3 linked regions of the Bombyx mori genome follow. The protein of the gene in region 3 binds, or shares a complex with, the protein of the main gene of each other region. Links are inferred from orthologs where the notes say so. Each region holds a gene or a part of one and is shown on either strand. Other genes may lie near its edges.

Region 1 (4,254 bases), on a different chromosome or scaffold from region 3:
AATGAACACTTGTCATTGAGAAGGTGGCACTGCTGGTGATTCCTGATACGAAAATAAATGAATCCCATCATACCTAAAGTTGCTGCCCCAACCTTAATTTCCGAACGATAGTAGTTCTGATCTGGCTAAAAGGTTTGCTTCTTATAACTTAATAATTCAATGATAAATTCGTTCAGAAAACTATACAAGTAGGTAATTCCCAAAATTAAGAAAACAAGAACTAAAACAGTTAACTTTTAATGGTACGTAAATAGTTTCCTTTTTATAACTTTATATGTTTTGACACTTTAAATAGCATTTTAGAATTTCAATTCCAAAATTCAATTATATATACATACATTAAACACCAATAAACATTTAGGGATACTGTAACCATAGATAATAGATAATACACATAAACTAGTTGTAATATATCAAAGTAGCTACTGACATTTTTAGAGAAAAAATATATTTTAGGCAAATATCATACCAGACGTATTCACTACATGTCCATACATAAATCAATGAATCATATAATGCACTTTTTAAACAAATACCTGGAATATTGGACTGCATCTCTGCATCAAGCTGCATTGCATATTCCAATACGTCATCTGCCTTATATGTACACATTACTAACTATATGCAGTCAACCCTGCTTCTATATACATCTTATTAATATAAATTATTTCAGTTTTTAAACTTTTCTATCATTGTTAGTAATGTAGGTAGTTAAAAAAAGAAGATGTTATAGTTCAAAACTGACACTGGCAACACCAAATTTTATAGGTATTTGCACTCAAAGCATTCGAATAATATTCATATATGCAATTATGTAATGTTTTTGGATAAACTTTTATATTGCATTTAATCTATGTAATTGCAGATTTGCATTACTTTATGATGGGTTCCACATAACTTATTTTACATCAATATACTTTAGCTAAACAGATTATTGTAAAAAAACGCAAGGCATTGCCAATGTTCATATTACTATATACAGTTCATAAAAGCACCGAAAAATAAATATGTAACTTCGATCCCACATTAGCCTTAATAAACCTATTTTAGAGAGTTGTAAAAGGCTATTTGGTTTAAGCAACATTTTTGAAACTTTACAGGTGAGCCAAAATGTTTAAAATTTGGAAAAATATATCAGACAAAAACACTTCTTCTGCTATTAGAATGGAGTAAATTTAATTAAAGTTCAACAAAGTCTTGATGCTAATACCAATTAAAAGGTACCTTTAATTACAAAGATGAATGTCGCTTAAACCAAATAGCCTTGATATATTTTAAAAACATGTTTATATGAGTAATTTATGAGAAATATTTTGGTTTCGCTTGTTTGATTCAAGGTGCATCTGCAACTACCACCTCCAAGTCCTTCAAGAACGGTTCAATCTGACTCTCTAATGATAAGATGTGACCAGTGTTGCAGTTGTCGCTTCCAATAAATGTGATAACTAGGGGTAGTTTGCTCATTTGTACCACCTGTAAATTATGATTATTTTTATTAAACATGAACATTACAGAAATATTAGAAATACTATTATACTGTGAATGGCTCAAGATTGCAATATTTCGATTTAAAATAATTTATCAATAATTTTAGGGTTCTAAATATGTATTTTAAATTTAGATATTTTTTATAATAACTGATTGACTGAAGCCCAAAATTGTGCCCAGATTTGACTTCCTTTGCTATTATACAGCTTGTGTTAGCAATGATTCCACCTAAAGAAATTTAACTAACTTATTATACTCATTCCAGGCAAACAGGGCAGTCTCATTCTTCAACATCATGTATTTACTAATAACTAGCACTCAATAAGCGACAATAGCTCCATGTATGAGGGAGGCTTTATAGCCCTACAATTCTATAATTGACCAGAAGTGAGGTAGTTAAACCTCTTATATAATAGAAATAAATTACACAGAACTGGTCTAATTATATTTCACTGAATTAAACAAAATTTCTAACAAAATGATTTCAATCTACCATTAACGAAAACTGTAAAAACTACACAAGTCCAAAACATGTTTCAACAAGAAACGTACATGAACGCTACACACAAAAAAGAGGGCAAATGCGCAGCGAGGGATCTTTTTTATAGTTTGGCGCTGGCTCTCCGTCGGAGGTTGCCTGGTAGCACTCGGTAGCACGCAATAACTATATATTTATCACTTACTAAAAATAATAATGTATATTTTTTTCAAAACTAACCTGATAACTAGAATACATTGATATAATGGTTTTATTTCTACCCAACCCAAGTTTGCTAGCCTGATCTGTGGCCATTCCAAACGTGGATATGAAGTTAGGACGCAGAGCTAGTGGAGGCGCTCTTTCAGTTACCGCCCTCACAAGGGGTACACCGTCTCTATCGGTAATCAAAATACAATGTAGGCCATTTACTCTGAAAAAGAATAAAGTTAAGGCCATCAATAGTTTTTCTTTTTTATCCATCCGTACGTACTTTCCAAAGTCACTTTCTCTGTCCCTATATCCCTATGTATGCTTAAATCTTTAAAACTACGCAACGGATTTTGATGCGGTTTTTTTTAATAGATAGAGTGATTGAAGAGGAAGGTTTATGTGTATAATAACATCCATTAAATAGTGGAGAAATCAATAATAAATAACAATTTCCGAAGCGAAGCTAGGGCGGGTCGCAAGTAAGATAATAAAACGAAAAACCAAAGAGTAAAAACGTAAATTATAAAGTTTTCTTACTTTTCCAGTAAATGATTCAAGTATTTTCTAAGATCGTCAACCATATTTTTTACAGTGAAAAATCTTTTTTGGTTTTAGAAATATGGAAAGCTAGCAAATACTAAATTGTGAAAAAAATAAGGTTTGTTTATATTTTTTTAATGTTGACAGTTGACAAATTGGTTTTACGCCAGTAGTAATACTAATTTTGTTTTTCCAACTGGACAGGCAAAGGTACCTTAGTATATACCTTAAACCAGAGTTCCCCAAACTTTTTTGTGTCGTAGACCCCTTGCCATGTTTTTCCGTGTTGGGTAGACCCCCTACTTACCTGATATTGATTTCCTGTAAATTTCTAACTGTAGTAAAGTTTAGTGTTAAAAACTTAAAATAAAACCCATGTTAATTTATACATTTATTAATTGAATTTAAATTAAAACTACTCAAAATAAAATTTTGTATCTGTTATGTAAAATATACGTAACATAAAATAAACTATAAATAAAATAACATAACCCCTAGGGGTCGATATAGACCACTTTGGGAATCGCTGCCTTAAGCTTTTATATTTTAAATATATTTTTATTATGTATGAAAAATGATAATATGAAGTGAAATGAAATGAAGTTCATTCATATGAAACATGAAATGAAATGAGATGGGATGATAAGGGATGAAATACAATCTCAGTAAAATGGTGGCCATTTACTAAGATTTTTGAGTGGACTTTTTGGAGGATCCCGAGAAGTTACGTTCAGTGGCTTAGTTTCATTTTCCCACATTTGTGCACTTTCACAGTTATACTAAACAGTTTATAAACCACGGTTATTACACATTTAAACCTGAAGAAACACTAAATTGACAAAATAAAACAACTCACACAACGTCACTCCTCGCGTTCCCTCCAAAAAAAAGGTTTTAGGCCAATTTCAGAAATTTCATGAAAGTTCACAGATTACCTATATTCTATGATTATTCTGTTACAAAATCTATTTGTGCCTGTTGCTTAATTCAAAATTAGCTCATTATACAACGAATATGGATCTATATAGAATACTAATCCCACATAAGTCTATTAATGTTTACTATTTATTTTATTAAACAAATGCCGATAAGTGATCCGTGAGGATCCCCAAAAAAATAAATGAGATGAGAATGTCAGTAGCGAGCAATTCTTTTTTTTTTTTAATAAATATTACTGACTTGGAAACAGCGAAAAATTCAAATGTAAATGAACACAGATTAAAAATTATTTTTAAAGTCTATTGCCAAAATGGCAGAATCGAACTGACAAGTTGTGGGATTTTCGTAATTTATTTTTGGGTACAATAATTATTGCCTTTGTACTTCTAGAGATTTATTTGCATAGTCAACCAATTATAATAGAATAAGTGTTCATAAATGCGAAGCAATAAAGTGTTAAATAACATCACAATTGAATGTTGCAATATCTTGAATTACAAGTTTGGTATGATAACAAAAGAATAAAAAATCTCTTTCGCCTCAATATGCGTTCTTTTTCATGGCCTGTGTATCGTGAGTATTAAAGGGGTGTTTGT
Region 2 (4,329 bases), on a different chromosome or scaffold from region 3:
AATCATTTCACATAAACCATATATTATAATATTTGTAAACCTCATATATAAAATAACAAGAGATACTTAACATTAAAATAATTGTTTCGTTTCTATAGTCTTTTAAAAGGCTATCCACAGTCTAAGTAACTGTTTGTCCTGTGGAACATTTAAGTTAATAAAGTGTAGGGTGCCTAACATCAAATCTTACAATAAATAGTCCATAACTAAATGATAAGTGTTATAGGTAGTTTTCCAATTACAGAGCATAATGCGACTCAGTGAAGCACAATGCCAAATTATGCTGAAGATTAATTGGAAAGTCAATTAGTTTTCAAATGCATCAGCAGAGTGCGCTAAGTTAGCACAGTTTTATTTAATATTGATTATTTCTAAGAAACTACGACGAAACGAAAGCCTTACATTTTTTTTCAACATTAAATAATATTACTAACGATAATATAAACAAAATTTCGATCAATGCCAACTTAAAGAAAAAACACTTGTCAATTTATTCTGTCACTGAGTTGGTACCGATTGCGAGTATCAGCAGTACTTTTGAGAGTGCTCGATTGTGCGAAGCGTTGCTGTAGTTGGAACATTCAACGTTGAGCATTATGCTGCATAATGCGCTCTTGTGCTGTAATTGAAAAACTACCAAAATGATCATTAATAATATTTTCTTACAGTAGAACCACTCCCCATACTTTTCCTTACTTAAACTTAATTTTTATATTAAAACTTTTAAAATAAGAACGAAATTATGATCCTATAAGAACAAACTTTCCACATCTAACAAATATTTTTTACTTTTTAGTATTTTTTAGCGAGCTGAAAAAGAAAGTTTTTAATTTAAACAATCATTTAGTTAACTAAAGCAACTTAACTTATAACAAAAAATAATTAATGCAAGATTAAACAGTAAAAGTACTTAAATTATGTTTACAACTCAAAAACCAAAGAAAAACATACTATGTTATATATTATTTGAGAATAATCCTGAAGATCCTGGTCAGTCCAATGGGATACTCTTATTATATTATTCTATTATTCTGGGCGGTCCTTTATAAGTGTGCTAAATTTCAATTATATAATGTTTCGAGGTGGGTTGAAATAATGTTCAAAGATTCCAATGCATACAGGCAAAGCTAATAAACAAGCAAATTAAAAAACCAGTCATTATTATTATTACATGAAGAAACTAGAGAATTTATGTGGTTACGAAAAACTTATACTTGGAATACAATATTATGTTAATCATAATTGTTAAACTTTTACTTAGTATGGTGGTAAGCCATTACAATAATTTAGCTGTTAATATTTATTCTCTTTAAAATAACATTATACAATGTTTATGTGGTTTTACATTTTATGATTGGTAGGTAATACTTTAGATAAATTTTGAAATTAAAATCTAGATAAAGAAGTATTCAAATTTATGTTATTTTGGGGGTCAGTTAAAAGTAAATAATAATTTTAATTTATTTCCTATCACTAGACATAACCTCCTGAGAGATGTTAAGTTAACATACTTTTGGCTGAATAATACACGATCTTCTGGATAGCTTGCTTACCAGAATAGTTCAATGTTGTTTTAAATTTTATTTTACTGAAAAACAAATAATAAACTTTATTTAACTGTAAATGAAACTTAAATAATTACTAATAATGTATGTGTGAATAATGTATGTGAGTATGTGAATGCTATCACCCACCATCTTGAGACTTCATCCTTATTATTCTTTTCATGAATGGATTTATTTTCAAGAACTTGCATTATAATCATTACTAGCGACCCGCCCTCGCTTCGCTTCGGAAACATTAAAACACACAGAAACCAAAAAAAAAAATAAAAAAAAATAAAAAAAAGTAGCCTATGTTCATCAGGGACAATGTCGGCTTCTAATGGAAAAAGAATTTTTCAAATCGGTCCAGTAGTTTCGGAGCCTATTCGAAACAAACAAACAAACAAATCTTTCCTCTTTATAATATTAGTATAGATTAATAATAATAGAAAAAATAATAGAATAATAATAGAAGTTTTTATATAATATATGATATTATATAAAAATAAAAAATACCCTCGGTGTGGATTGGGAGAGGCCTATGTCCAGCAGTGGACTGATGATGGGCTGATGATGATGATGATGATGAAGCAGTAAAGTTTCAGTTACTCCCATAACTTGTGTGTTCATAGTGCGTAATGTAATTTTCTATATAACAAAAATCTCATTATAAGGTTTTGGGGAATTTATCTTTTCGTGTTAGTGTGGAATCGTGTTGTAAAATACCGTGTTATAGTAGGGCTAGCTACCTGTACATTAAAATATTGTTATTACATTTCACTTATGTCATAACTTACAAGTAATTTCATGTTCCATAGAAAACTATGTTGTGAAGTAACAGCAAAGAGTTCATTTAAGTTCAAGGCCGTTCATACATATCATGATAAACAATTATTACATTTTCAATAAATAAATAAAATATACAAGTACCTTCTATGTTTTCAATTTAAAAATCGCTCCGGTGATCGTGCCATGTCGTTGTATGAGGCACTGTTTTTTATCAGTTTCAAGGCAAACTGTGGGCGGTTTCATGTTCGGTTGTATTTTACAGGCCTGTTCTGATATGGCAACGATTATCCCTGCAGAGTCTACGTGCGCGGCGCCTTTTGATGCCAAGCATAGTCCTTGTGGGTCCGCGATAAGACAGCCATTGACATTAGGCATAGACATGATTTCTTCTACGACTTTGTCTAGATCGTTTTCCATTTTTATTAAACAAATTTATATTAATTTATAAAAAACACGGTCAAAGTCGACTGTCGACTGTCTTTTGGAAACAAAACAAAAGATTCTTTGTTGACTTTTGACATAGCATCAGCACTGACAGATGTATTTTTTTAAAGTCTAGTTGGACAAGCAAATAAAGCCGTGTATAGAACTAAGTTTTTTGTTAGACTGAGCCGTGTTTGTGTTACGATAGCGAAATGGTACAAATAATTGAAAATAAATTTTTTCTCCTACCGACGCCGAAAGTTCGGTTTTCGTCCCGCTATACAGGGAAGAAAGTGTAACTTTTCCTCCTGCTGTACAGGAAAGAAAGTGTAACTTTTTCTCCCTGGGTTAAGTGTGCATGCGTCTACGTCTGTCTACGTCTGCTCTCACGCATCTAAAATTCTCCGCCATTGTTGTGCTCGGGTAATTTGCAATATTTAGTGTTTAGTGTAAAAGTAAAATAAACAAAAGTCAATAAAATTTAATAGTGAAGTATTAAACAAAGATGAATTCATCAGACAGTTCTTATTCAATTGGTAGTAGTTTTTTTAAAAATTGACCATAAAGATTTACATTACGACACAAAACTGCCAGCAGTAGAACCATCAGAGGACCACGTGCACTGGAACCGGAAGAAAGGACATACTTATGCGATGCCGTGGAGAAAAAACTAGCCCTAGAACCTCCTACAGGCGATGCTAACACTCAATGGGATACCGTAAAATCTCATCTCTGCGAATCCCTTGAAGAAATCAAGGCTTCCCGCAGAGAGGGAAATGCAAATCGGAAAAAAAACCAAAGTATGGATTTCGGAGCAAACAAGAGAAGCTTATAAGCAAGAGGAAAGACATCAAAGTGAAGGGATTACAGAATGATGACGTCAGGAAGACTTATTCTGACCTTTGCAAGGAAATTAAAAAAGCGTGCCGCCGAGATAAAAGCTGTTTCATTGGAGACATTTACACTGATATCGAAAAACATTCACAAAAATACCAACCGTCTTATTTGTTCAAGAAAGTTCGCCTTTTGTCTCGGAAATTTAAACCAAGATCCTGGATAATTGAAGATCCCAATGGCAAGCCTATCACTGATTTAAATGCCGTTGTCGAAATGTGGCGTAAATACTGTGAAGGATTATATGATCAGCCTCAGTCAATGAGTACACAACTCCCAGTCTGGGACGACATAACCTTAGAACCTTCAATAATACGATCAGAAGTAACAGAAGCCATCTCTCGACTAAAGAGCAATAAAGCTCCAGGACCGGATCACATCACGGCAGAAATAATTAAATCGCTGGGAGATAGGGGTGTGAATGCAGTGCATAGCATCTGCAATTACGTATGGCAACATGGCGAGTGGCCCAATAACTGGACTGAGTTGATCATTTTGCCGCTTCATAAAAAAGGGTCAACTAGGAAGTGCGACAATAACCGCACGCTAGCCCTTGTCTCACATTGCAGCAAAGTTCTACTGTACATTCTCAACACCCGCTTGCGCCACTTCCTAGATTGGCAAATCCCCAAGAGCAAGCCGGTTTCGTTAAAGGGAAGGGAACACGTGAACAAATCCT
Region 3 (4,216 bases):
TTTGTTGTCTGATGATTTCATGGTTGATTTTACAGCTTGTGCTATTCTGGAAGTAACAAAGACAAAAAAACAAATAGAAAAATTCTATTCAAAACCCATATTTTAGTTTTTTGTATCAAACCAATGGACTGAGTTTTTCAATTTACCCTTGCCATTGTAAAACCAATGATAAGACATGTTGGCGAAGAACTGCTTCATTAAAATGTTCATTTTTTATTGCAATTTCAATTTTTTTCATCAGCGTTGGACCTGGAATAATTCATGTCATAATAAATCATATCATGTATAGCTTTTATCATTATATAACCCTTTAGTTATTCGTGAGTACTGAGTTAATTTCAATAGTAATAAACTCACAATTAACAGGTAAAGTTTGCATCCATTTGGAAATAAAATTACCATGTTCTATTTCAGATATAATACAAGGGTCTGTATTCGGTTTTTTATGTTTGGCTGATGAATCAAATTCTGGTAGTAAACTCCTGAAACTTATTAATATTTCTTCTGGATCCCTGAAATTGGTTTGCATTTGTATCTGAAACAAATAAAAAAAATATATATTGAATAAATGCCACCAATGAATTGAATTGAGAAGTTTGGTATATGTTAAAAAAAGATTAGCTTTAGAATCTATATACCTTTTAACTGCTGTAGATTGGCAGACCAAATTATAGACCATGTAATAGTGTGTACCCATTTGTTTGGTTACTTGCATAAATGGCACTACTTGAGACATGTTATTGTTTTGGTAATATTAGTTAATTATAAACTATTCCATGCTCTAAACAGGTTTAAAAAAGAACAGCAACAAAAAAACAGCAGTACAGATTCTACAGAATAATGTTAAACTAATACTAAATACCAGCTTGTTCGTTTATATTGTGAATATTAATAATGTGATTAATATAATAAAAAGTTCAAAAACTCACATTCACTCCGGTCAATGTACAGAATAACATTACTCTGAACACATTATTTGATAACATAGACTCCAAAACTCTCATAGGGATGTACTTTGCTTTACTTTCAATAACACTTGAGTTTGACTCCAGAATTGGGATAATGGGACTTATCTTTTTTAATAAATCTTGACTGGTATATAGATTTTCAGAAAACACACGTGCCCCTGCCTTTAGTATCCATGAAAAATGTGAGTGCAACAGTTTGAATATTTCTTTGTTTCCTGAAAACATTGATTACTGAGATGCGTGTAGTAAGCAGTGCAGGTTTTGTTTTGATAACAGATTTTACAAAATGTTTGTTTTAGAAAAAAAACTGAATAGTACCTACCTGTCAACTGAACAAGTGACCTTGACTGACCAAAATCATTTCTCCCTGTTCTTAACCTCAATGCCCTCTGTGAGCAAATTTTTTGTTCCTCATCAAAAACTGCAACAGCCAATTTTTGTAACTCTGCAGCTATGTTCTGAAAATATTATTGCAACAATGAAATAAGTGCACATTCATGGATCAAGCAGATAATCCATTCAAAGCAGTTGAGTTTTTTTTGGAATGGATTTTTTTTAAGAGTGTATGCAGTAAATGGTATCTTTTGCAGTCATTTTTGAGACTTCCTGATCACCTAGGAAAAAATGGTCTATGAATTTAGCTTGCTACGTTAATATCGCCATTAATGCACCTTGAAAAATGAGTTCTAAGTCCCAGTTTTTAATGTACAACAGCTGATTCACCCTTTAATTTGAAATGCATTACAGCTTTACAGCAGAAATAGGCACGATGTTAGTACCTGTCAATGTAGGCCCACAAAACGCCCTACCAGTAATAAAGCAATAAAAAAAAGAAAAAAAACTGCAAGTCTGCTTTTTGTATGGTGATATTCCTTCACTGCAGAAGTCATTCATGAACTTTTGTAAATTAGGTTTTTTATTTTTAAATGGGTATCTGTCAGTGGTATTTGAATACCAAGAGTCACATCATGAAGGACCGATCACATGGTAAAGATATTAAAAAATTGATTGTTTATTGTTAAAATAATAGATGTAATCAATTTTTCTTAGAATAATAAGAATTTAATATAACTTTCTTCTTTAGTGATTCACAAATATGTAGCACTTACAATAAACCTACTTTCATGTGTTCAGAGAGCATTGGAGTAATGTTCAAGAGCAACATCTTGTCTTTCATAAGCACCAGTATAGAGAACCATCGCTTGAGGCCTCTTGCTCGTGTATCGCACAGCTGGAATGTGAAGCTTAGCACATGACCTTGTGCTTCACTAAAATATACTATGCCACCATCCTTGCTCCAGTTTACCTAGTTATATAAATTTCATTAGATATCAATATTATAATAATAAAGAAATGGACGAGACCAATTAAAGTAAGATTGTATTACATTGTTAAGAAATTTATTTATGTACAAATATAGGTGATTATATTGTAATATATGATTCTGATACTAAGAGATAAGTTATTGAAAACGGTCGAAATATTTCTGCAGTAACAATTTAATGTAGGTAAATCCTATGAAATATACTTACTTCACAGGTAATACTTCGAATAGCAGCTTGTCTCAGAAATGACGTAACGTCGGCACTGGGTACAGATTCTCTGCTACAATATATGGTGCCATCGTCGTCTGTAGATTTTAAAACAGTTTCAGGACCTAACGAGGCACAGCCTGTACACTGAACACTTGCTTTGGAAGGTTCCGTAATGTGTTCGTCATTATCAGTTGTAAACGTGCAAAATAAAGATCGCGGTCCGTGTGCTTCACAGAAATGACAAAGGGTAAGGATAGCATTCATAATATTTATGGTAACTACAGCATTTATAATAATATCATGTACATATTGGATTAATTACGTTAAATTATAGAAGAGTTGTTGACATTTTTTTGACGGCAGGTGACATACAGCATTTTTTTTTACTTAAAATATTTTACGGTCTGATAGCGAGACTTTTAAGCCAAGTCTTATTTTTTCTCGTATTCTGTTATTTGAAAAGTTATTTACAGCAAAATGAGGTTAAGTGGATTCATTTGAGTCTTCAATAAATTGGGATGAAAGTTTTCCTTTTCTATGTATTATAAAAATAAAGTACAAATAGTAGTTTTTGATTTTATAACCTTAGCGATGACAACAATCGCGTCGTAAGGAACCTATTGCCGTCTGAAAGAAAGAAGAAAACATTGAATAAAATTAAAAAGAATTAAACAAATTTTAAACAATTAATGAGCTAACATTTTTACGACTAAGCTTGAACGTTAATTTAACAAATCCACGACACTTGGCTCAGGCGCTCCCAGCATAATATTCTTGCCTATTTCTGCCGTGAAGCAGTAATGCATTTCGGTTTGAAGGGTGGAGCAGCCGTTGTACTGTTACAACTAAGACCTTAGAACTCTTGTCTCAAGGTGAGTAGAAGCATCTACGTTGCTCCGGTAAGCTCGTCTACCCATCTAAGTAATAAAAAAAGCATAGATATTATATTATAAAATATAAAGATCTTATACAAGGAACTGGTATTTTGGCAAAATTTTATACGATTTATATTACATACTAGTTGGCTCGGCAGACTTCGTAGTACCTTAATCGATAAATAAAATACCTAAACTTTTGTATTAAATAAACTTAAAACAAACAAAAGGAATCCGTCCAACAGGGGACACATCAAAGGAAAACAAAATTGTCATTTAAATTTAATTTCGAGAATTTTCATATTTATCTACATTTTAAACCTTCTCTGGACTTGTAAAGATAATTCAAGACCAAAATTAGCCAAATCGGTCCAGCCGCTCTCGAGTTTTAGCGAGACTAACGAACAGCAATTCATTTTTATTTATATAGATACCTAATAGAAACTGGTAAACAGATTGCCCATCATTTAGATGCAGGTATACAACCCTGGTTTCCTGAAGCTACTACTACCTCTGTAGTAGTGTTACGGTCAACTATCTTCCTGCCCAATTCCCTTGTCTATTCTTAAGTACTAATGCTTGCTAGTCCACACTAGCGGATACCAATCTTGCGTATACCTCTCGCGAGGCAATGGTCTGTTTAATTGAGAAGGATAGGTTGATGATAGTCATACCTATTTTAATGTGAGGGCTGGCTTTGTATAATGTCTAAGAAACACCTATGATGATCCTTTGAGCCAAAAAGCTAGCCTAAATTGCACGAGCCACAAACGTTATTGCTTCTTTGTTCGCAGCTAACTTGAATTAAAATCGAAGTTGTTGGAACGCCTACCCCATG

Evidence for each region.
Region 1: folliculin (region 3) and ragulator complex protein LAMTOR3 homolog share a complex: the UniProt entries of both Homo sapiens proteins name them as parts of the lysosomal folliculin complex. The link is inferred for Bombyx mori from reciprocal best matches to the Homo sapiens genes FLCN and LAMTOR3.
Region 2: folliculin (region 3) and ragulator complex protein LAMTOR5 share a complex: the UniProt entries of both Homo sapiens proteins name them as parts of the lysosomal folliculin complex. The link is inferred for Bombyx mori from reciprocal best matches to the Homo sapiens genes FLCN and LAMTOR5.

The regions. Positions count from the first base shown.
Region 1 is NC_085109.1:12,157,867-12,162,120, forward strand, and holds ragulator complex protein LAMTOR3 homolog, read right to left. Parts: upstream 2,913-4,254; 5' UTR 2,761-2,912; coding exon 2,717-2,760; intron 2,400-2,716; coding exon 2,207-2,399; intron 1,474-2,206; coding exon 1,333-1,473; 3' UTR 222-1,332; downstream 1-221. UniProt on the Homo sapiens protein: As part of the Ragulator complex it is involved in amino acid sensing and activation of mTORC1, a signaling complex promoting cell growth in response to growth factors, energy levels, and amino acids.
Region 2 is NC_085110.1:1,232,965-1,237,293, reverse strand, and holds ragulator complex protein LAMTOR5, read right to left. Parts: upstream 2,856-4,329; 5' UTR 2,751-2,855; coding exon 2,478-2,750; 3' UTR 2,475-2,477; intron 1,589-2,474; exon of another isoform or gene 1,128-1,588; 3' UTR 6-1,127; downstream 1-5. UniProt on the Homo sapiens protein: As part of the Ragulator complex it is involved in amino acid sensing and activation of mTORC1, a signaling complex promoting cell growth in response to growth factors, energy levels, and amino acids.
Region 3 is NC_085117.1:9,050,364-9,054,579, forward strand, and holds the start of folliculin, read right to left. Parts: upstream 2,889-4,216; 5' UTR 2,768-2,888; coding exon 2,501-2,767; intron 2,275-2,500; coding exon 2,089-2,274; intron 1,427-2,088; coding exon 1,291-1,426; intron 1,184-1,290; coding exon 930-1,183; intron 536-929; coding exon 358-535; intron 250-357; coding exon 147-249; intron 47-146; coding exon 1-46. UniProt on the Homo sapiens protein: Multi-functional protein, involved in both the cellular response to amino acid availability and in the regulation of glycolysis.